3 linked regions of the Stegostoma tigrinum genome follow. The protein of the gene in region 1 purifies or fractionates together with the protein of each later gene. This does not show direct contact. Links are inferred from orthologs where the notes say so. Each region holds a gene or a part of one and is shown on either strand. Other genes may lie near its edges.

The links. Proteins that work in one complex are often made in the same cells at the same time.
Region 2: the proteins of ribosomal RNA processing protein 1 homolog A (region 1) and serine/arginine-rich splicing factor 6-like purify together in Homo sapiens (affinity purification with mass spectrometry; 3 studies listed by BioGRID and IntAct, with this or other methods). This does not show direct contact. The link is inferred for Stegostoma tigrinum from reciprocal best matches to the Homo sapiens genes RRP1B and SRSF6.
Region 3: the proteins of ribosomal RNA processing protein 1 homolog A (region 1) and lyar purify together in Homo sapiens (co-immunoprecipitation; 3 studies listed by IntAct, with this or other methods). This does not show direct contact. The link is inferred for Stegostoma tigrinum from reciprocal best matches to the Homo sapiens genes RRP1B and LYAR.

What each region holds. Positions count from the first base shown.
Region 1 is NC_081365.1:1,312,261-1,320,008, reverse strand, and holds the start of ribosomal RNA processing protein 1 homolog A, read right to left. Parts: upstream 3,303-7,748; 5' UTR 3,290-3,302; coding exon 3,169-3,289; intron 2,022-3,168; coding exon 1,939-2,021; intron 367-1,938; coding exon 309-366; intron 1-308. UniProt on the Homo sapiens protein: Positively regulates DNA damage-induced apoptosis by acting as a transcriptional coactivator of proapoptotic target genes of the transcriptional activator E2F1.
Region 2 is NC_081372.1:22,887,184-22,894,629, reverse strand, and holds the start of serine/arginine-rich splicing factor 6-like, read right to left. Parts: upstream 3,038-7,446; 5' UTR 2,897-3,037; coding exon 2,790-2,896; intron 2,272-2,789; exon of another isoform or gene 2,195-2,271; coding exon of another isoform or gene 2,100-2,194; intron 675-2,099; coding exon 514-674; intron 1-513. UniProt on the Homo sapiens protein: Plays a role in constitutive splicing and modulates the selection of alternative splice sites. Plays a role in the alternative splicing of MAPT/Tau exon 10. Binds to alternative exons of TNC pre-mRNA and promotes the expression of alternatively spliced TNC.
Region 3 is NC_081354.1:55,231,788-55,239,945, forward strand, and holds the start of lyar (cell growth-regulating nucleolar protein), read right to left. Parts: upstream 3,038-8,158; 5' UTR 2,712-3,037; intron 1-2,711. Other genes in the region: zbtb49 (zinc finger and BTB domain-containing protein 49), read left to right, coding at 8,013-8,158. UniProt on the Homo sapiens protein: Plays a role in the maintenance of the appropriate processing of 47S/45S pre-rRNA to 32S/30S pre-rRNAs and their subsequent processing to produce 18S and 28S rRNAs. Also acts at the level of transcription regulation.

The DNA of each region.
Region 1 (7,748 bases):
CGGCAGTACCAGACATACCTAAAAACACTTCATAAAGCAACCAAGCAGGGCTACCTGCACAGCAAACAGTGAAAGCAGCAAGTGATAGACAGAGCTAAGTGATCCCACAACCAGTGGGTCAGAGCTAAGCTCTGCAGTGCTGCCACATCCAGTTGTGAATGGTGGTGGACAATTATACAACTCACTGGAGGAGGAGGCTCCTCAATGATGGAAAAGCCCAACACAACACAATCCAGCCATGTTATCCACGACTTCACAATGTATCTCTCTGGAACAAGATATTGATGGTCAGAACAGCAGAAACTTACTGGCATCCAGATTTTTGAAGGCGTGTATCAATTGGGAAATGGTGTTTGCCAGTTCTTCCTGTAACAAACAGTAGAGATTTTATTCAGTTGAACCACACAAGCCTAGATCTCCAATTTTCAATTTGTGATCAACTCTTGTCCAGATGAAGGGGGCGCAGATGCATACTTACTGCCTGCAGAAAGGAGACTGAACAACCCTGTCACAGAGTTACATCACATGAATGCTTCAGTGTGCCAGTGGCAACACTCACCCCCACAAACACATTCTGTGCTTCCTACAACCTGGGACTCTTCATTTTCTGAGTGAGGCAGACAAGCCAAACTTCAAATCAAGAACTTTTGACTCAATATTAAGGTAGTTAGAAAACGTCAACAAAAAGACACATGGCCACTGGAGAACTGCTTGTTAGGTCAAAGAGAGCTCACTGTCTGTCACTTGACAGTCCTGCTGCACACAGTCCAGGTCAGACCCTGCAGCACCTAAGGAACATTAGCAAACCCAATGGGTTTTTCTGACAATCGACAATGGATTCATGGTCATCATTAGATTCTCCATTCCAGATATTTACTGAATTCAAATTCCACCATCTACCATGGTGGGATTCAAACCTGGATCCCCAGAACGTTATCAGGGCTGTGGGTTAACAGTCCAGCAAGAATATCACTAGGCATCACCTCCCCATCCACAGTCCCATCAGGGTTTGCTAACAAAAGTACACCGAAAAACCACACACACAAATCAAGTAATGAACTTCAACAGGAACCATCCCAGTGCGCACACATGAAGCTGCGTGCGAATACTATTTTTTGGGCAAGATCACACTGCAGCAACAGAGAACTACGCCAAGAGGAAGAAGAATACCTCTTCCAAGTGTTCAAGGATAACAGATATCCAAAGAACTGGGTCAGAAGAAGATGACTACACGAATAGCATCAGAAAGATTCTACACACTACCGTACATTCATCACACTACCCTACATCAGGAACATGTTGGAACTCACCACAAGACTCCTACGAATGCTGGGCATCAGAGTGGCACAACCCTACAACAACTGCTCACCTGAACTAAGGACCCACTCCCTGCCATGGACAGGGCCAATGTCATCTACAAAATCCCCCGCAGAGACTGTGAGAAACTCTACATCAGACAAACAGGAAGGAAACTAACAACAAGAACACCAACTGGCTACAAAAAGACACGATGAATACTCACTCATCTCAATCCACATGGACACGGAGAACCACAACTTCGACTGAGACAACACCAAGATGCTGGGACAGGCTAGGCAGAGACAGGCACGGGAATTCCTGGAAGCTTGGCACTCCACAAAGCATGCTATTAATAAACACGTCAAACTCGACCCCATATACATTCCACTACGAAGGAAAACTGGAAGTGATGCAATCCATCTCAACGGACCCAAGTTTAAAAACCAGACAGGAAAACACATTGGCTCTTCATCGGAGGCTGCACTGAGGATGTTACCAAGCACGGTAATAAAACATTTGCAAAACAACGAACCAGCTCAACAAGCCAAGCAACCTCAACACCCACAACCCAAGCTATAGATCTACTCTAAAACCTTTGCAACCTGCTGTTGGGGATGCCCTCCTATAATCATGACTTACCTGTAAAAGTGGTTTGTCCTGCATCCACATGCAGTAGAAAATGCCCTTCCACATTTTCAGTAACTCTTCCTGACTGAAACCACCTTATAAAAAATAAAATAGAATGAATTGTTGGAGTTCTGAAAACTACAGCATCATGCATACACCAATGGACAATAGCCTATACAATTACCACATGTCAAACAGCATCATGCAATAAAAGACGACTTTTCTGGTAGCTTCTGAGGAGATGCATATTATTTCACATCCAGTGTAAGTATACTTATCATGATGTAGAGAAGTCTTGTCTCTCCAGTCTGCAACCTCCTTCAGTGTCATCCTTCTTTCAGAAATTGTCTTTTCCATTGCTTCTTGTTCAGTTCCACCTGGCTCCACATATCACCAGCTGTTACTGCAACCTGACAACTTTAGTCACCTCTTGTTCTTTTCCAAATCTTACTTTTGTCAGGTTAATCCAGGATCAGTTGGTGGACACCTCCTTCTGTTCACTGTGAGCCCACTAACACCTACACCCACAGAGAATCAGCTCACTGAACTCATCCTCTCATTGCCCTTCCACATCTACACTGCCCCAACAGTCACCGGTGGCATTCTCCAAAAGTGACGCCTATAACCCTTGTACCTCCCTTTACCTGGTAACCCAGATCCTCTTCAGCACTCATCAGTCAACAGCAGAGTCACCAGACTTCCGCTTCCCATTGGATCCCCATGTCGTCCAACATCATCTGTCCTAACCCATCCCCTCTCCCCGCCCTATCCCTCTCTTCTTTTCCACCCTGCCTGAATATTGACAGGCCTGAAGAGAGCAGATGTAGAGATGTTTCCACTAGTGGGACAGACTAGGACCCAATGGCTTGGCCCAAAGTGATGAGACGACCCTTTAGAACTGAGATGAGGAAGAATTTCTTCAGCCAGAAGCGGTGACTCTGTGGAACTTATTACAGTAGGGGGTTTTGGTGTTGAAGTGACAGAGTGTACTTCGGACAAAAATAGATAGGTTCTTGATTAGTAAGGGGATGACTAGTTATGGGGAAAAAGCAGGAGAATGGGATTGAATAACATATCAGCCATGACTGACGGTACAGCAGAATCGATGGGCTGAATGGCCTAACTGCGCTCCTCTATCTGACTGTCTCTCTCTGCCCACCCCTCAGGTACCCACGTGTGAATGTCATGCGCCCCCCGGTGCGTTCCGGGGGCAGAGGGACGGAAGCCCCCCGCTGTTATTACCTGAGAGTCGTTGCGAGCGGGCACTCAGGTAGCGGCGGAGTTTACGAACGGCTCGATCCCGAAAGCGCTTCTCGTTGGAGGCGAGCCGCTGGGCAAACTGAACCTCGGCGGCGGCCGCCATGTCCGCACAGGGAATGCTGGGAATGCGGAGGGCCGAGGGCCGCCCCTGCGCAGTGGATGCCCCCTGACGTCAGCGCGCAGCGTCACCATGGGAACCACGCAGGGCCTTCTGTGTTGACCCTCGTCAGTGAGCAGCGGTGGGACTTCGGCCACTCTTGCCGGATTGGGGCCTGGAGCGGCTAGCCCAGCTATCAGGGGCACAATGACCGCGGTAACGTCAACTACTGTCCACTGTCAGCACCCACTGGAAATCCAGCTGAGTCCTGAAGAAGGGTAATAGCCGAAACGGTGACTTCTCCTTTCCTCCAGCCTCCGCCTGTCTTCCCTTCCACCCCGGGGCCTCTGCAGTTTTTTCCTGTGTCAAACTCACTGGAAATCGCGCCTTGCTATTTTCCAAGTTATCACAAAAATATTAAAATTAGTACATAAAATTTTCCACCTTACCTGTTGTCCAGATCAAAGTCGATAGAAAGCACTGCCCAGGTTTCTGTAATTAACAAGAATGACTTTATAACCAGCGAATAGACCCTTTGCAGTTAAACAGTGACAAACGTTCTTCCCTTACAACGCCCCCCCACTCCCCACAAACACACACACACACACACCCCTCCGTCACATACAGAGACAAAACCAGGCTTTTGTTATCCATAATTGGTCACCAGGCCATAAACCATATAAACCAAAAGAACTGCAATTGCTGTAAATCAGGAACAAAAACAAAGTTGCTGGAAAAGCTCAGCAACTGTGAAGGAGAAAAACAGAGTTAAGTCACTGAACCCGAAACGTTAGCTCTGTTTTCTCCTCCACAGATGCTGCCAGACCTTCTGAGCTTTTTCAACAACAGTGTTTTTGTTCCATAAACCATATAACACCTTGTAGACAACCCCTCAGCTTCAGTCTGACCACAAACTAAACTTCAATTGCTGCTTGTTTCAAACACTGTTTCCTGCATGCTTGCCATGAGGCTCATGTGACTTGTTTTTCAAAGCATGCAGTAAACTTTTCAAATAATGGTTTTAAAACAGTCCTTTCTGCTTTCAGGACACAATTGAAAGAAAACACGCAAAAATAAAAATACACACACTTTATAGCATGATTACCTTCACCATTGACCATGGTAATATTGGTCAATAGCCATGGTCATACAGCACGGAAACAGACCCTTCGAGCAAACCAGCCTATGCTGACCAGGTTTCGTAGAACACAACACACAAGAGTACAGCACAATACAGGCCCTTTAGCCCATGATGTGGTGCTAACCTATTATCCTACTGAGATCAATCTACCCTGCATATCCTACATTTTACAACCCTCCATGTGCCTATCCAAGAGTCGCTTAACAGTCTCTAAAGTATCTGACTCCACTACCACTGCCGGCAGTGCATTCCACACACCCACCACTCTGTATGAAGAACCTACCTCTGACATCTCCCCTATACCTTCCTCCAATCACCTTAAAATAATGCACCCTCGTAATAATCATTTCCACCCTGGGAAAAAGTCTCTGAGTGTCCACTCTATCTATGCCTCCAGGCGTAGCCTTGCCAACACCCTTAACAGCTGCAGCATAACCTCCCTGTTTTTAAACTCCAGTCCTCTAACAATGAAGGACAACATTCCATGTATCATCTTAGTTACCTGCTGCACCTGCAAACCATAGCCCACCCTGGCACAACATCCATGGCTGCAGATGACCAAATGTCTTTGATAGGGCCTCACAGTTTCTCCCCTAACTTCCCACAATGTCCTGGGATACACTTGATCAGGCCCCAGAGATTCATCCACCTATATGTTTTTTAAGACCTTTACCTCTTCTTTTGTATTGTGGACTGTTTTCAGGTCATCAATATTTATTTCCTCAGTATTTATTGACTTCCTTCCATTTCTTTCTCCTCAGTAAAAATTGACATGAAATAATCTCCTGTCGCCTGAGATTCCACACAGAGGCGATCTCATTGATCTTTAAGAGGTCCTATTCTCTCATAACTTCCTCTTTTGCTCTTAATGTACTTGTCGAATCACTTTGGATTATATTTGAGATAATAAAGTGCGGAGCTGGATGAACACAGCAGGCCAAGCAGCATCTCAGGAGCACAAAAGCTGACGGTTCAGGCCTAGATCCTTCATCAGATCATCAGATTCATCTGATGAAGGGTCTAGGCCCGAAACGTCAGCTTTTGTGCTCCTGAGATGCTGCTTGGCCTGCTGTGTTCATCCAGCTCCGCACTTTATTATCTTGGATTATATTTGACCTTGCCTGCTAAGGCTATCTCATATTCCCTTTTTGCCCTCCTGATTTTCCACTTAAGAATGCCTCTACACCCATTGTACTCTTCACTTGAGCCCAGTTGTCTATACCTAATATATACCTACTTATTTTTGACCAGAGCGTCAATATCTTTATTAATCTATTATTCCCTACTCTTACCAGCCTCGCTCTTCACCCTAATTGGAGCAGAATGCCTCTGAAGTCTCACTATCTCACTTTTGAAAGCCTCAAACTTGTTAGTCATGGAGTCATGCAGCATCAAAACAGACCCTTCGGTCCAACTGATCTGCAGTGACCGTAATCCCAACCTAAACTAGTACCACCTGCCTGCACTTGGCCCATAACCCTTCAAATACTTCTTGTACAGGGCCATGGTGAGACCACACTGAGAATATTGTGTGCAGTTTTGGTATCCTTTTCTGAGGAAGAATGCTCTTGCTCTTGAGGGAGTGCAGTGAAGGTTTACCAGGCTGATTCTGGGGCTAAGAAGTTGTGGAGCTGGATGATCACAGCAGGCCAAGCAACATCTTAGGAGCAGGAAAGCTGATGTTTCGGGCTCTGGCATGTTATCTCGGTTTCTCCAGCATCTGCAGTTCCTATTATCTCTGATTCTGGGGATGGTGGGTCTGAAGTATGAGGAGAGATTGACTAGGTTGGGATTGTTTTCGCTAGAGTTCAGACAAATGAGGGGGGATCTCATAGAGACTTATAAAATTCTAACAGGACTGGACAGGGTAGATGCAGGGAGGTTGTTCCCGATGGTGGGTGTGTCCAGAACCAGGGACACAGTATGAGGATTTCGGATAGACCATTTTGGATGAGGGTGAGGAGACATTTCTTCACCCAAAGAGTGATGAGCCTGTGGAATTCATAATCACAGGAAGTAGTTGATGCCAAAACATTGAATGTATTCAAGAGGCAGCTAGCTATACCGCTTGGGACAAATGGGATCAAAGGTTATGAGGAAAAAGCAGGATTAGGCTTTTGAGTTGGACGGTCAGCCATGATCGTGAAGAATGGCAAAGCAGGCTAGATGGGCCGAATGACCTCCTCCTGATCCTATCTTCTATGTTTCTATGTTAGTCATGTACTTACCTAAATGTTTTTTAAACAGAATTCTACCTGCATCCACCACTTCCTGTGGGAGTTCGTTCCACACATGAACCACTCTGTAAAAAAAATCTGTATCTTTTTAAAATCTTCTGCCTCTCACCTTAAAAATATGTCTCCTAGTCTTGAAATCCCCTGCCCTGTGGAAAAGACACCCGCCATTCACCTTACCTATATCCATTGTGATTCTATAAACTTCTATAAGGTCACCCCTCAACCTCCTACACTTCAGTGAAAAAAGTCACAGACTTTCCAGCTTCTCCTTATAAGCCAAACCCTCCATTCCTGGCAACATCTTGGTTAATCTCTTCTGAATCCTCTCCAGCTTAATAATATCCTTCCTACAACAGTGCGACCAGAACTGGACATAGTACTCCAGAAAAGGCCTCAGCAAAGGTTTTTTACATCCTCAACATAATGTCTCAACTTCTGTACTCAGAGGTCTGAGCAATGAAGGCAAGCCTGCTAAACACGCTTTTAACAACCTTATTTATGTGTGATGCCAACTTCAAAGAATTATTTACCTTAACTTCCTACCTAACTTCTTACATTCATTCTGCAAATCTTCAACCCTTTCCCTAACTATGTTGTTCTTACCAATGCCCATGACCATTGTTGCATTGCCCATTAACACTGGTAATCTTCACAATGAATCTTGGTAACCTGTGCCAGGGCTTTGCCCACAACACTGACAGACCAACTTCTTCGGATAGATGCCCAAATGTTTGGCCAAAGAAGGAGGTTACCTTTTTATTCATTCAGAGTCACTGCCAAGACCAGCATTTGTTGCCCATCTCAGTAAGGGTCGATTAAATTGCTGTGGACCTGGAGTCACATGTAAGCCAGAACACGTAACGGTGGCAAATTCCCTTCCTGTAAGGACTTGAGTGAAAATGATGGGTTTTTAAGATAATTGACAGCAAGTAACTAGATGGTCAGCATTAGGATAGTTCTTTCTCTCAGATTTAGTTTTATTTTAATTCAAACTTCACCATATGCTGTAGTGGAATTTGACCTTATGTCAAGGGAAAACAGGTGGATTCGCTCTTGTTGGAGATAGCATTTGTGTGGTGTGAATGTT
Region 2 (7,446 bases), on another chromosome or scaffold:
AAATTAATTATTAATTTCAGAGATTTTGCATTTACACTAAATGCTACAATTATGTTACCATGCATGTCTGCATTTATTTTGCCAAATATTAAAACTAGATATTACATCATGTACTTACATTCTAGCAGATTTTAGAAGTTTGGTACAACACACATATGGTAACAGGCACCTAGTTCAGATTAACCAGTAATGTCTAACCCTTGGCATCCTCATCACCCAGGGTCTAATGGCAAAGGCAGCTGTCGTCATGGCTTCCATTAGGTCAGCCAAACGCCAAAGGCTACATATTGTAAGGTAAAGCCAAGGTCAATCGGAACGGGCAGACATCTTAGCCTCACTGGATTCTTTTAATTAAAAGATCAAGGTCTTGTTAACAAGGTTTGGATGAACACTTACATAATTTAAACAATGTTATATAATTTAAAACAATAAAAATGCCATTAGAAATATTTAAAAGCAAATACAAAAAAGTTAAATGCAAGAATATATTAAGCAAGATATTAAACCACTCACTGCGACCTCCACCACCACCATAACCACCGCCATAACTTCCATCACGACGTGGTCCTCTTGCATGCTCCACAATTATGCGCTCGCCACAAAGTTCTTTCCCATTCAGTTCATAGACTGCATCATCTGCATCACGTGCATCTTCAAACTCAACAAACCCATAGCTGAAAAGAATCAATTAGAACATTATGAAATACTCTTTGCATGGCTCACATGATGAACATCTTGCAACTAGGTTATTTGGTAGATATCCTCCAGCAATTATTGCACCCTCAAAGTGGACTATCGTTGATAGTTCAAAGGTTTCTGCAAGTCAATTCAAAATGTGGAGAATTAATAAACCAAAGAGGATGCAAGTGCAAGTGCTTCTAAATGTAACTACAGCAAATTGTGTTTTAACCGGCACCCTTGATAAATCAGCAAGAATTATATACCTGAATTACCAGAGGTTTACCATGTTACTGTCATCTCAGTGATGTTCGAGTAGTCAGTTGAAGGTGCGAAGACTATATGGTGTTAAGTTTAACTTAAGGCAAAGTTGCAAGATTAAGTGATTAATGCTGTAAAAAGTGATATACATACAAACACACACACACCCCTTGCACTACATTTCAAATATTTAGGAGCGTGCTTTTACATTGATTTCATGGACCTCTTGATTAATCAGCATACTTGATTAACCAATACACTCCTGGTCCTCTAGCTGCCAGTTAACAAAACATTTGTTGTAGAACTTAAAAATAAATCAGTGGATCAATGCTAACAAGTGAAAAATGAGATTGTACAGATTTTGACACAATAGTCTCTCTGTTTCTATGATATTCCAACCCTGACTGCTGTGGAGAAGTCCAACAAGTTAAATGAAATTCTTAACATTGACAGCAATTTCCTCTCGGAATTATTGGTCAGTGGCAAATCATTAAGTCCTTTATCCTGAAAATTCTTCAAACCCTAATATGTTTCAAATATCCACCGCCCTTTTGAAATATGAATTCTTTCACTATCATCTGATAGGAAATTTCATGTTCCAACACTGTAGATCAATTTCAACCAGACATTCCTTTGTTATTTCACCAACTAGTAACTAACTTCAACTCAGTTCCCTCTAATTATGGAGGCAAAACAAAAATCCCTTTTCATTATAGGGTCATTCAGCCAGGAAACAGACCATTCTGTCCAGCCAGTTTAGGCCAAACATAATCCCAAAGTAAACAGGTCCCACCAGCCTGCTCCTGGCCCATATTCCTCCAGACCATTCCTATTCATGGACTTATCCAAATGCCTTTTAAGTGCTGGAATTGTACACAGTTCCTCAAGAAGCTCATTACACACACGAACCATCCACCTTCTGTGTTAATAAAATGCGTCTCAAGTCTTCAAAGGCCTCATTTGGAACAAACGACAATTCTGATGTTAAGCGCTACCTTACTTTTTCTGCATTTCGGATCCAAAACTGTAAGTTTAAAATTCCTGCAGTTCTGCCCAATCACTTTCATAACCACAGCTTTTGCGACAGCCGGTCAAATACTACCACACAGCAAGTGATTCTGCAAGAATTTAAAAGGGCACAATTTGCAGAAGGAAAGCACCTGGGCAGTCGTGTTAAAACGCGAATAGAGTGTGGAAAAGCGACAGGTCGACGACGGAATGTTGTTATGATTGGCCGAATCCACGTGGACAGCATGAACTAACTATTAAAGGCGAGATTTTGACAAATGGGCATTTGTCGGCGGCGAGGGCGAGAGGATGGCGTGAAGTCGAGCGTATAAACAAAGAAACCGCCTCACGTTTTGGAAGAGCGGACTGAGCAGAGGGAGGAAGGTGGTCCCTGGTGTGACATTTGCACGGGAAATGCATCGAGCGGAATGTGGAAAAGTAAAGCTAACGCAAGGCGCTCGGCGGTGAAGGCAAGAGGGAGAGAAATCAAATAAAAACAAAGTATATGGGGGGGCCGAGAATGACTAAATAAAGGTGTACCCTTTCGCGTTTGGAGCCACTTCTCTCCCGCCCTGGCCTCGCTTCACCCTCCCCTCTCCCAGCCGCCATTTTATCCCAATCCACGCGGCACCCCCTTCCCCCAACGCCGCTCAAAGGGGAGGGGGTGAAAATGGAGGCGGCATTCCCACAATCGCCGAGGTGATGGGGAGTGAGGCAGTAAACTTCCAGCGATAGCGGTAAGGGGAAGAGAGAAAAGGGCGGTGAGAAGAGAGGGGGAAAGTGGGGCCCCTCGGCTCCTATCACAACCTCGTCAGCACCCGCCGCCGCCGCGCGTCCCTCACCCATTCTTCAGGTCCACCTCCAGCAGCCTGCCGTAACCCCTGAAAAACCTCTCCAGGTCCTTCTCACGAACTTGGTAACTCAACCTCCCGACGTAAACACGCGGCATCTTCCCTTTCTATTTATTTATTATTTCTCTTCCCCGCCCCCCACCCCGGGCTCGCGCTTTCTCCCTCACTCCGATCGACCCGCCGCTTTATTTCTTTGTGCTTCTCGGGTGATGTGGTACACCAGTCAGCGTTCCCCTCTATCTCTGCACTCCCATCCTCGGGGAGAAACTCGCCGGGTACGTCACCGGGACTTGCCATCCAGCTCACACCTGTCGTCATCACTGCACGCTCTGCCTTCTGGGTATTGTAGTTCGTTTTGTGAAAGAGTTTGAGACAGTAGGAACTGTAGATGCTGGAGAATCTGAAATAACAAGGTGTAGAGCTGGATGAACGCTGCAGGCCAAGCAGCACCTTTCCCTGAAGAAGGGTCCAGACCCGAGGCGTCAGCTTTCCTGCACCTCTGACACATCTCTCTCCTTCCTGGACCCCTCTATCTCCAGCTCTGGAAACCGATATCCATTTTAAGCCTACCGACTCCCACAACTATCTAGAATATTCCTCCTCTCACCTCCCTGTTAAAAGGCCATACCCTATTCCCAATTCCTTTGCCTCCACGCATCTGTTCCCGGATGAGGCATTCCATCCCGAACATCCCAGATGCCCTTTTTTTCCCCAAGAACCACAACTTCCCCTCCACAGTGGTCGAAAATGCCCTCAACCGTGTCTCCCACATTTCCTGCAACTCATCCCTCACATCCCCTATCCGCAATAATAACCAAAACAGAATCCCCCTCGTCCTCACGTACCACCCCACCAACCTCCAAATCCATTGCATCATCTTCTGACATTGTGATGCCACCCAAAGGTTGCAGGAACAGCAACTCATATTCGACTTGGGAAGCCTGCAACCCAATGGTATCAATGTGGACTTCACAAGCTTCAAAATCTCCCCTTCCCCCACTGCATCCCAAAACCAGCCCAGCTCATCCCTGCCTCCCTAACTTGTTCTTCCTCTCACCTATCCCCTCCTCCCACCTCAAGCTGCACCTCCATTTCTCACCTACTAACCTCATCCCACCTCCTTGACCTGTCCGTCTTCCCTGGACTGACCTATCCCCTCCCTACTTCCCCACCTATACTCTCCTCTCCACCTATCTTCTTTTCTCTCTCTCTCCCGATTTATTTCAGAACCCTCTCCCCATCCCCCTCTCTGATGAAGGGTCTAGGCCTGAAACGTCAGCTTTTGTGTTCCTGAGATGCTGCTTGGTGTTCATCCAGCTTCACACTTTGTTATCTTGGAGGCTTGGGGACCGCTTTGCAGAACACCACTCAGTTCGCAACAAACAACTACACGTCCCAGTCATGAACCATTCCAACTCTTCTTCCCCCCCACCCCCCAGATCCTTGGACAACATGTCCATCCTGGGTCTCCCGCTTGACGCAATGACACCACCTGAAATATGCAGGAACAGCATCTCATTTCGCCTGGGAACCCTGCAGCCCAATGGTATCAATGTGGACTTCACAAGCTTCAAAATCTCCCCTCACCCGACCGCATCCCAAAACCAGCCCAGCTAGTCCCTGCCTCCCTAACCAAGCCCCACCCTCCTCTCCTACCCACTAACCTCATCTTGCCTCCTTGACCTGTCTGTCCTCCCTGGACCAACCTAGCCCCTCCCTAACTCCCCACCTACATTCATCTTCACTGGCTCTAACCCCGCCTCTTTGACCTGTCTGTCTCCTCTCACCCTATCTTTTTCTTTATCCATTTTCTATCCACCTTCCCCTGCCCTCCCCATTTATTTCTGAATCCCCTTCCCCTCCCCCATTTCTGAAGAAGGATCTTTGACCTGAAATGTCAAACATTCCTGCTCCTCTGATGCTGCTTGGCCTGCTGTGTTCATCCTGCTTCACAGCGTGTTATCACAGATTCTCCAGCATCGGCAGTTCCTATTATCTCAACACCTTGTTATTTCTGTTCATACCCTCACGTGCTGTGCTTCTGGTTAATTAATGGGACCAAGTACTGAAAGCTTCTCCCTGCAGCAAAATGAGAAACTGTCTGAGAAACTCGTGCGATTAGGGGGTGGGAATCCAAGAACTGCTGATGCTGGAAATCTGAAACAAAAATTGCTGGAAAAACTCAGCAGGTCTGGGTTGTATCTATTGGAGAGAAAGCAGAGTTGACTTTTGGGTCCAGTGATCTTTCTTCCCTTGACATCCAGGGTCACCTGAACTTGCTTCCCTTGTTCTTCACTCTTAGGGGAACACACTGGCCCTGAATTCTCACTACTGCTTCTAAAAGACTCCCACTTTCCAAATGTAGACTTACCTGCAAGTAACTGCTCTGTTGATGTTGGCCAGATCCTGTCTAATATTGAATTTGATGCTTCCCCCAGTTAAGAAAATTAACTTCTACACTATCCTTATCCATTTCCAAGTTAATTGAAATTTACTGAGTTTTGGTTACTATCCCCAAAATCTTTGCCCACTGAAACCTCAACCACTTAACCAGCAACTAGTAAGCAGTATTACAGACACAAGTCTTCAGTCAATATAATTCACACCACATGATATCAGGAAAAATGATTAGAGGTACTAGATAGTACAAAGGCTATGGACTCTGACAACATTCCGACAATAGTACCAAAGACTTGTCTCTAGAACTTGCTGCTCTCCTAACCAAACGCTTCCAATACAGTTACAACACTAGCATCTATCCAACAATGTGGAAAATTGCCCAGGTATGTCCTGTACACAAATGCAAGACAAATCCAAGCCAGCTAGTTAGTGCCCATCAGTGCACTCTCAAACATCAGGAAAGAGTTGGGAGGTGTCTTCAGCAGTGCTATCAAGTAGCACCTGTGCATCAATAACCGGCTTCGTTCTCCTGAATGCACTTTTAAACACTCCACCCGTTCAAACCTTTCACACAAAGGCAATCCCAGTTAACGTTAGCAAAGTTCAAATACTCACAACTACAACCTTGTTTCTCTCCTACTTTTCTGTGATTTGCCTAAATTAATGCCCTTCTATTTCTCTCTGACTTTAGAGACTTGTGTCTCCCAGCAAAGTAAGCACTCACTTTTGTATTTTAAGCTCTACCCAGAAGGCCTCATTTGAGAATCCTTCTAATACATGCTCCCTTATTACTGTAGTGATGGTTACCATTATCAATAGTGCAGAGCCCCTACCACTGTTACATTCTCCCCAGCGCACCCGACATTTCCATACTCTGGAATGTCGAGTTGCCAGTCCTGTCCTTCCTTAAAACATGTCTCAGAGGTTGCAACAATATCATATTCCCACATGCTGGTCAATGATCTATGTCCATCCATCTTACCAGTCCATCTCCTTGCACTAAAATAGATACAATTTAACTTTCTGGACGTTCTGTGTGCCTTTTCTGTCCATATCTGGTCCACCTGTTAGACTGTCCTATCATTCATTCTTTCTCTGATTGGATTTGCTCCTGACTTTACATTCACTCTGTGCCCCATTCCCCTTGCCAAATTAGTTTCAAATCTCTTGAGTAGTGCAAGCAAACCTCACAGCAAGGATAATGGACGCATTCCAGTTCAGGTGCAACTCATCCAGCTTGTACAGATCTGACCTATCCCAGTTGTCCCAATGACGCAAAAGGCTAAAGCCCTCTCTCATACACTATCGCTTTAGCCATGCCTTCATCTGACCAGTCCTCCTATTCCTATTCCCATTAGCACATGGCACTGAAAGTTATCCGAAGATTACAACTTTAGCAGTTTTCCTCTTTAATCCACTATCTAACACTCTAAATTCCTGTTGTGGAACCTTACTCCTTTTTTACACACGTAGTCGGCATTGATATATACTATGATTGCTGGTGTTCACCCTCCCCTTTCAGAATGCCTTGAAACCTCTCTGAGACACCAGGGAGGCAACAGACCATTCCAGATGAAATAAAAAAACAAAAGACCCGTTTTGAGGAAGGGTCACAGACCCAAAACATTAACTCTCATTTCTCTGCACAGATGTTGCCAGACCTGCTGAGCTTTTCCAGCAACTTCTATTTTTGATACTATTCAAGAGTCTCAATTGCTGCCATAGAAACGTCTGTCAGTTCCCCTTCCAATCACATCCCTGATCAGTAAAGCTTTCTCAGTCATTTTTCTCCCCTGCTGTGCAGCGCAACCAACTGTCGTGCGACAAACTTGATGTTGCTGCTTTCCTGTCATTATCCTGCCACACACCTCCTCAACGGTATCCAACACAGTATATCTGTTTAAGAGGAGGATGGCCAAAGAAGACTTCTGCACTGCCTGCTCATATTTACGAGGCTCCTTGTCGTCACCCAACATTTTTCTGCCTGTGTAGCCATTACTTGGGACCAGCTCGCTAATCATGCAATTGGTTTTCAGCATCATAAATGCTCCATAGTGGGTCCGTCCACAGCTCCAGCCACTCAATGTGGTCAAATAACTATTCTCTCCACCAGTCTTGCCACTGTCAGTGATCTGTGGACATATACCCCCAGGTTTCTCTGCTCCCATGCTCTTTTTAGAATGATATGTCCTATTTTATATTGTCCTTCAGTAGTCATCTTACTAAAGTACATCACCTCACATTTCTT
Region 3 (8,158 bases), on another chromosome or scaffold:
GCGAGCAGATATCATGAGATGAGGTGTGTCTAACTGGCCTTGACCCCAGGACAGCAATTATTGACACCTACATTGAGACACTGACTACAGTTCAAAAAGATTTCATTGACCAAGAACAGTAGCAGGGACTGCAGGAAACATTGGAAATGGGGGTCGTGGGGTGAGGGAAGAGAGAAAAACAGGCATGGACACTTCACTGGTTGGAGTCATATCTGGCACAGAGGAAAACGGTTGCTGTCAAAGGTCATTCATCTCAGCAGAAGTTCTTCAGGGTAGTGCATAAGGCCCAACCATCTTCAGCTGATTTAACAATGACCTTCACCTGATCATAAGATCGAGGTGGGGCATGCTTATTGACAATTGCACAAGGTGCAGTAAAATCTATATCAACTCAACTACTGAAGTAGTCCTTGTTCTTATGCAACAAGGCTTGGACAACATCCTGATCTGGGTTAACGACTGTCAAATAACATTCATGCCATACAATAACCACCTCCAACATGACAGAATCTAACCATCACCTTTTGAGATTAATGGCGAAACCCCCACTGTCAACACCTTGATGGCGGTTACCACTGACCAGAAACTGACTGAATCAGCCATAAACACACTGAGACAACAAGAGCAGTACAGATGTCAGGCATTCTGCAAAGAACAACTTAATTCTGGGCTCCCAAATGCCTGCTCACCAGGTACAAGTTAGGAGTGTGATGGAATATTTTACACTTGCCTGGATGAGTGCAGCTCCAGCAGAACTCAAGTAGTTTGACCTTATCCAGCACAAAGCAGAACACTTGATTGGTACCACATCCAACACTTTTAACCTTCACTCCTTTCACCAACATACAGTAGCAGTATTCTGAGATAATGGGAACTGCAGATGCTGGAGAATCCAAGATAACAAAGTGTGAAGCTGGATGAACACAGCAGGCCAAGCAGCATCTCAGGAGCAGTATTCTGTGCTACTTACAAAATGCACTGCAGTAACTCACCAATGCTCCAGTAACAGCACGTTCCACACTCATAAGCTCTATCATCTCAAAGAACAAGGACATCAGAACACCACCAGTTGCATGTTCCTCTCCAAATCACACACCACCAGTTTAGGAATACAAATACTGTATCTTCACTGTTGCTTGGTTAAAATCCTGGGACTCCCTGCCTAGTAGCAATATGGATGCTCCTATATTCCAAGGATCACAGCGGTTCAAGAATCCTATTCACCACCACCTTCTCTAGGGCAACAAGGAGACCTTACAGAAATTTATAAAATAAACAGCGGTATAAGAGTTAATGGTACTTGTCTTTTCTCTAGGATGGGCAATTTGAACACTAGGGGGCACAATTTTAGGGTGAGATGAGAGACTTAAAAAAGATGCAATTTTTTTTACATAGAGGATGGTTCACCTGTGGAATGAACTTCCTGAGGAAGTGGTGGATGTGGGTACAATTATGATGCTTAAAAGATATATGAATAAGCACATGAATACGAAAGGTTTGAAGCGATATGGACCAGGAGCAGGGACTAGTTTAGTTTGGGATTATGCTTGGCTTGGACTAGTTGGACGGAAGGGTCTATTTCTGTGCTGAATGACTCTAAAAGTAAAGACGGGCAACAAAAGCAGGCACAGTCAGAGATGCCCAGATCCCAAGAACAAATAAAAGAAATTCAGCTAATGGTCAAAAAAAATGCCAGGGTAACATCAAGAGTTCACTTTTAGACAGTGAGGCCAGAGTGAGGGATGGAGTCTGTGAAGAAGAACCAAAGATGACAGCTTTGTTCTTCCCAATATTCAACTGTTAAGTACTTGACAGTTATAGCATTAGGCAGTTGACAGTTTACAAGTGTGAAAATTAAAACGTCTCTCAATGAAGCTGAGGGCTTGCATTGATGGGCAGATGAAAGTAGAACTGCTTCAGGCTAACTTGGAGAGAGACTGGGTGATGTTCACCACAATTCAAAGTTGCACCAAATTGAGGAATATGAAATCCAATTTCCCATCATGACACTGATAGCCTAAAATCAACATTAAAAGTATTACTGTCTCAGGTTGAGATTGTGGGCTCAGGTCCCAATTTGGAGACTTGAACAGACATAATTTAGTGGTTTCTCCAAAACTGTTGGTAGTGCCATTTTTGAATTGAAACATTGAACTAAAGTTGCACCTGTTTTCATGAGAATGTAAATATCACAAGACCCCACTCTGAAGAAGTAAGTTATCACTCAGTTAGCACTTATCGTGCTCTGAATTTATTGACACCTACATTGAGACACCAACTATAGTTCAAAAAGATTTCATTGACTCTAAAGTAATTTGGATTGACTTAAGGTTGTGAAATGCTATTTTTTTAAAAAGAAGAATTACAATTAAATAAAATTATTAAATTACAGAGACTGAAACTATCAAGTCATCTTTAGGTACGTTTATACATATGCCAAGCACATGGAGTGGAAAGAAATGCAAAGAATAAAAGTTAACTCAAGGCCGGGGGGGAGCAAAGAAGCTGACTCTTCAGTGGGTCCTTACTGAAGGAGGAGTGCAGCCGCCTGTTGGAGGTGTATTTCTTTTTCATTCGAAACAGGGCCTTCGAGTTAAGTAAATGATTTACAAATGACTTAAGCACCTTGCTTAACTTGCAGCAAGAAGCCAGACAACTTCTAGAATCGACATAACAAAAAAACAGGAACAGTCTGAAACGAAACGAGTTACCTGTTACCCTTCAGCTCCACTCGCTGCAGCGAGCTCCTCAAACAGACCCGCTGCTCCTCACCCTCCTCCGGCAGCCCCAGCCAACCCGAACGCACACGTGTGTGGTACCGGAAAAACGAGATGCAACGCTCCGTCTCTTCCCCTATCTCCTCCGCCCCAATACTGAGGTTCCGGGTGCCGCGTTCCTGTGGAGCTCACCGTAAAAAGGGAGAAGGGAATAGAGATGCCAGAGAGTGGGGGCCAGGGCAGGACGGGCAAGAAGAGAGCGCGGAGCCTGTAAACAATTAGGTAAAGAACCTTGCCCGGGAATGGAATGCGGCCCGATCCGGGCAGGGTTCCAATTGTTTGTTGCAATTTGTTGTAAATGGTTATTGCCCAGTCAGGCGAGGAGATGGCTCCTTTTACTCTGACCTAAGCGACCAGGAAAAGCGTTCCGGGGCGCAACAGCATCAGTTGGTTCGACTGCTGTCCTCCACCAGCCTCCCGTCTTCCTCCAGTTTGCATGTTCCGCCATCCACTTGCTTTGTGCCTTTCCCGTGCTAGTGCATCTAGGCCCCGAGTCCCTTTTATTAATTGTTGTCCTGGAAACTGAATCGGAAAACCTCTCCCCTAGCTTGGCAGTGATTACAGGGAGAAAGGATGGACCATGATTGAGGATCAAAATCTATTGCAGAATGAAAATCTATTCAGAAGGAAAGTGGAATGGAAAATGGAAATCCCTTAGCTTTTAATTTTAATTTAAAAGGTACAATGATGATTAATGATGACTGGTTAAATGTATTTATCTCCAATCACTTTGTGGATTTTATTCTAATTTTGAAGTGTTTCACGTATTCTATCAGTTTTTTGTTGTTTTTTTTCTACTGGATGTGAATAAGGGTATAATGACTTAAAGGATTTATCTTTGGTGAGGATTGCAATATGTCAAGGAAGCTGCCTGCACAGACAAGATAACCGTAGCATTATTCACAGCAGTCTGTCTGCCGAGTAACTTCACATGTCGTTTCTCACCAACAAACCGAGATCTAGTCCGTCTGTCTCTGCATTAACAACATTTAATGTTGTTTACATTATTACATTTAACATTAAATGTTAAACAACATTTTAATCCACCAGATTTTTCCTGTTATTCTTCTGGCACGGAATGTTTTAAGCAGAAAACGCTGGAAATTACTGGACAGATGAGCAAATATCTCTGCAGGGAGAGCAGCAGAGTTTACGCTTCAGGTCGATGACCATTCATTAGAATTCGCAAAAGTTAAAGATGTTTAAGGTTTTTATTCAGTGAAAGGATGTGTTAAAGAACAGAAGGTCAGGGTCTGATGTCAAGAGGGCATTTAAGTGACAAACCTCTTACAGGGTGTGAAAGGCTTCAAAATATCTGGGAGACACCGCATGTTACTTCTTCTGGGCCACAGTCTGGGCAAAACTGTGGAATAGAGGCAGGTAGCCAGAGGCTTTTCCTCCTGACACAACCTGCTTTTGGGTGATATTTACATTTGCCATACCCCTTTCCTCGCAAACTCTGTGGGAAAATTGTACAATTCATTTACTTAGCACCTTGACAGAAAGTTTTAACCACACCTATCTGTGATGGATTTCAAGATCTGATCTCTACATGCTTAATATTTTGAAAATAATCTTGTGAATTTGTTGGTTGTAATTTCTAATTCCAGTATCTTTAGGAATGTGGCATTCTTTCCATTAATGTAGTCAGTCAACAGCATTGCTGCTAAGATAATAAAATGTGAGGCTGGATGAACACAGCAGGCCAAGCAGCATCTCAGGAGCACAAAAGCTGCCAGAGGAATAGCATTGCTGCTATTCCTCTGACAATTAAGCAATTCGAGATATGAGGGCTATCCACTACAAATGAGAAAAAAATGCTAATACAATTGCATTTAATTTAATTTCACTACTGTCTTGTATCACAGATAATTCACTTCTAAATATTTTACAATTAGGTATTATATTTAACCAGTGTTAATAAACAGCTAGCATTCTATCTAAATTATGAATAACTTGGAGGGTACTTTCTTAATAATGAGGAGTATAAAATCATGTAAATCATTGTTAAAGTTTGACATTACTGATACTTAGCAGATATTAAGCAGTGTGTAAGCAAGTTCTGAATGCACTTTCCTTGCTTGCCCCAATTATCCTGGGAGTCTCAATGTTCTATTTTTTTCCAGAGCTGAGACACAAAACCTCATGTCCAAAGTAACTGCATGACCACTAACCTTCACCTCAAATATCACTTTGTCATCCCTATTTTTTATTCACTGCAATTGACATCATTCACATCTTTACTTTTTCAACACTTTGTTCATTGGCTTCCTAATCTCCACCATAAACTTCAACACGTCCTTAAAAGTATAGCATGCTCACCATTCTGCTATAAGTCCCATACATCTACTACGCCTGTCCTTGTCAATTTTTAATCACCTCTCTATTGCACTGAAACATTAACTTCAAAATCCTTGTCTGTGGATGTGAGTTTGCTCGCTGAGCTGGAAGGTTAGTTTTCAGATGTTTTGTCACCATTCTAGGTAACATCATCAGTGAGCCTCCGACGAAGCGCTGGTGTTATGTCCCGCTTTCTATTTATCTGGTTAGGTTTCCTTGGGTTGGTGATGTCATTTCCCGTTCTTTTTCTCAGGGGATCGTAGATTGGTTCCAAATCAATGTGTTTGTTGATTTAATTCCGGTTGGAATGCCATGCCTCTAGGAATTCTCGTGCGTGTCTCTGTTTGGCTTGTCCTAGGATGGATGTGTTGTCCCTATCAAAGTGGTGTCCTTCCTCACCTGTATGTAAGGATACGAGTGATAGTGGGTCATGTCGTTTAGTGGCTAGTTGATGTTCATGTATCCTGGTGGCTAGCTTTCTGCCAGTTTGTCCAATGTAGTGTTTGTCACAGTTCTTGCAAGGTATTTTGTAGATGACGTTCGTTTTATTTGTTGTCTGTATAGGGTCTTTTAAATTCATTAGCTGCTGTTTTAGTGTGTTGGTGGGTTTGTGGGCTACCCTGATGCCAAAAGGTCTGAGTAGTCTGGCAGTCATTTCGGAGATGTCTTTGATGTAGGGGAGAGTGGTTCTGGTTTCTGAGCCTGTTTTGTCTGTTTCTTTGGGTTTGTTGCTGAGGAATCGGCAGACTGTGTTCATAGGGTACCCATTCTTTTTGAATACGCTGTATAGGTGATTTTCCTCTGCTCTGCGTAGTTCCTCTGTGCTGCAGTGTGTGGTGGCTCGTTGGAATAATGTTCTAATGCAGCTTCGTTTGTGGGTGTTGGGATGGTTGCTCCTGTAGTTCAGTATTTGGTCCATATGTGTTGTTTTCCTGCAGAGGCTGGTTTGAAGTTCCCCATTGGCTGTTATATTTGGAAAGTTAAGATGAACAAAATTGTAATTCAGGAGTTCAAACTGGGAAATTACAGTATAAGTTGAATTTTCCTTTCTTAACTATTTTTAAAATGCTCAATGACCTTGTACTTGAGCAACTTTTATTTTTAATTGACTTGTGGGATGTGGGCATTGCTAGCTGGATAGCATTTATTCCCTATCCCTAGTCGCACTTGAGAAGGTGGTGATGAGTTGCCTTCTTGAAACGCTGTAGTCCGTGTGCTGTAGGTAGACTCATGATGCCTTTAGGGAGGAAATTGCTTGTATGAAAGTGAATCTTGCTGCTGTTTTATATCCCTCCTGACATTTATTTCCCCTCTTTTATTGAAATGTACATAAAAATTATGACTGATGTAAAATAGTTTGCTATTCACTGTCATTCTTTTACAATATCAAGTGTACTCCCAATCTGTCGCACACTTACCCTTCATTTGTGGTATTTTCAAATCCCTATGACCTCAGCACAGCTTATTTCACTGCTCTGAACTCTTTAAAAACTCTGCTCACTACTATTTCACTCTTTATTGTGATATTTCTTTCCACATTTACCTCAAGCATTGACTTGTATGGTCTTTTGTTTCTTGCGTTTATACCACAAGAAAGCTAATGGAATGTTGTCCCGTTTCCAGACTGGAGTACAAGAATGCAGACTTTACGCTGCAATTATATGAAAACCTGACTCACCCCTGCTCTCCACCCCACTAAACTTTGGAAGGTCAAAAATACTTGCAAGGTGGTAATCCTTGAATCACACATTATTTTTTATTCTAGAAACATGAAGGATACTCTGCAGCAAAGGGAACAGATATACCTTCATGCCCGTGATGTTATGTTATAGTTCTGAAAAGAATTTTTTAAAAAGATAAAATTATGGATGACTTTTTACATTAGTTAAAAAATGTATTAGATAAGGTGAATTTCTGGCAAAGCGATATTTGTTTGAAATGATGTTGAATGTTGAAACAAATGTCTTTAGATCAATGGGTAATGTATATTTGAATTAAATATGATTTCTGTCTCTGTCTGTGGTTAGTTGAGTTTTTACCCAAAGTGAAGGTAAGGTGGCATTTATTATTCTAAATTAAAATAGTCAAATTAAAGCTCAAGAGCCATGAAGTTTCACTGCAATAAAACATAATCAGTTGGTTACAAAAATAATTGATCAGGTATTGGGATATTCTGAGCTGGAATTTCTTATAGAAATATTGGATCATCTTCATGTTCACCCAACCCCTACACCTTTTCATCTTCTTCACCCAGTTTTAGAAATAGTGCTGGATGGATGACAATCTCAATTACCCTTTTTAAGACAAAACCATTGCATAACCAGGGAGGGAAAAAAATATCTTTGAATTTTATCTTTTACTTCAACAACTTGCATCTTTATAGTCCATTTGATGCAACATAATGTCGTGTCCAATGATTCTTACCCCTGTGCTCAGATCAAAACATAGCATAAACAAACTGCTCAAAACATTTTCTGAAGAAGGGTCTCGACCCAAAACGTCAGCTTTCCTGCTCCTTTGACGCTGCTTGGCCTTCTGTGTTCATCCATCTCTAAACCTTGTTATCTCAGATTCTCCAGCATCGGCAGTTCCTACTATCTCTGCTAAAAGCACATATCAGAAGTATTTCTTGGAACCCTGCACGCAGAATCACATTTTGACTAAAGAAAAGCAATATCAACTGGTCATTTAGCTTTAAATTTGTGAAGGAATTTACAAAATTTCTTGTGTGAATTCGAAGCTGTGATGAGTGACTTTATCTCAACTGCATTTGAGACATCCTGCTGTATGAATAAAACCACCTACCCTCCAACTGATTGATTGATTGATTCTGTACCATTTTAGTAAGTCTCATGTTATGTCAGAGTTTCTTTCCCATACTAGGTCAGCTAAAGGATGGCAGCCGAAGCACTAGGAAACCACAGCTGCCATCTACTACAGCAGCTTCATGAGCAGCGTATCCAAGGATTCCTGTGTGACTGCATGCTGGTGGTGAAGGGTGTCTGCTTTAAGGCTCATAAAAATGTGCTGGCTGCATTCAG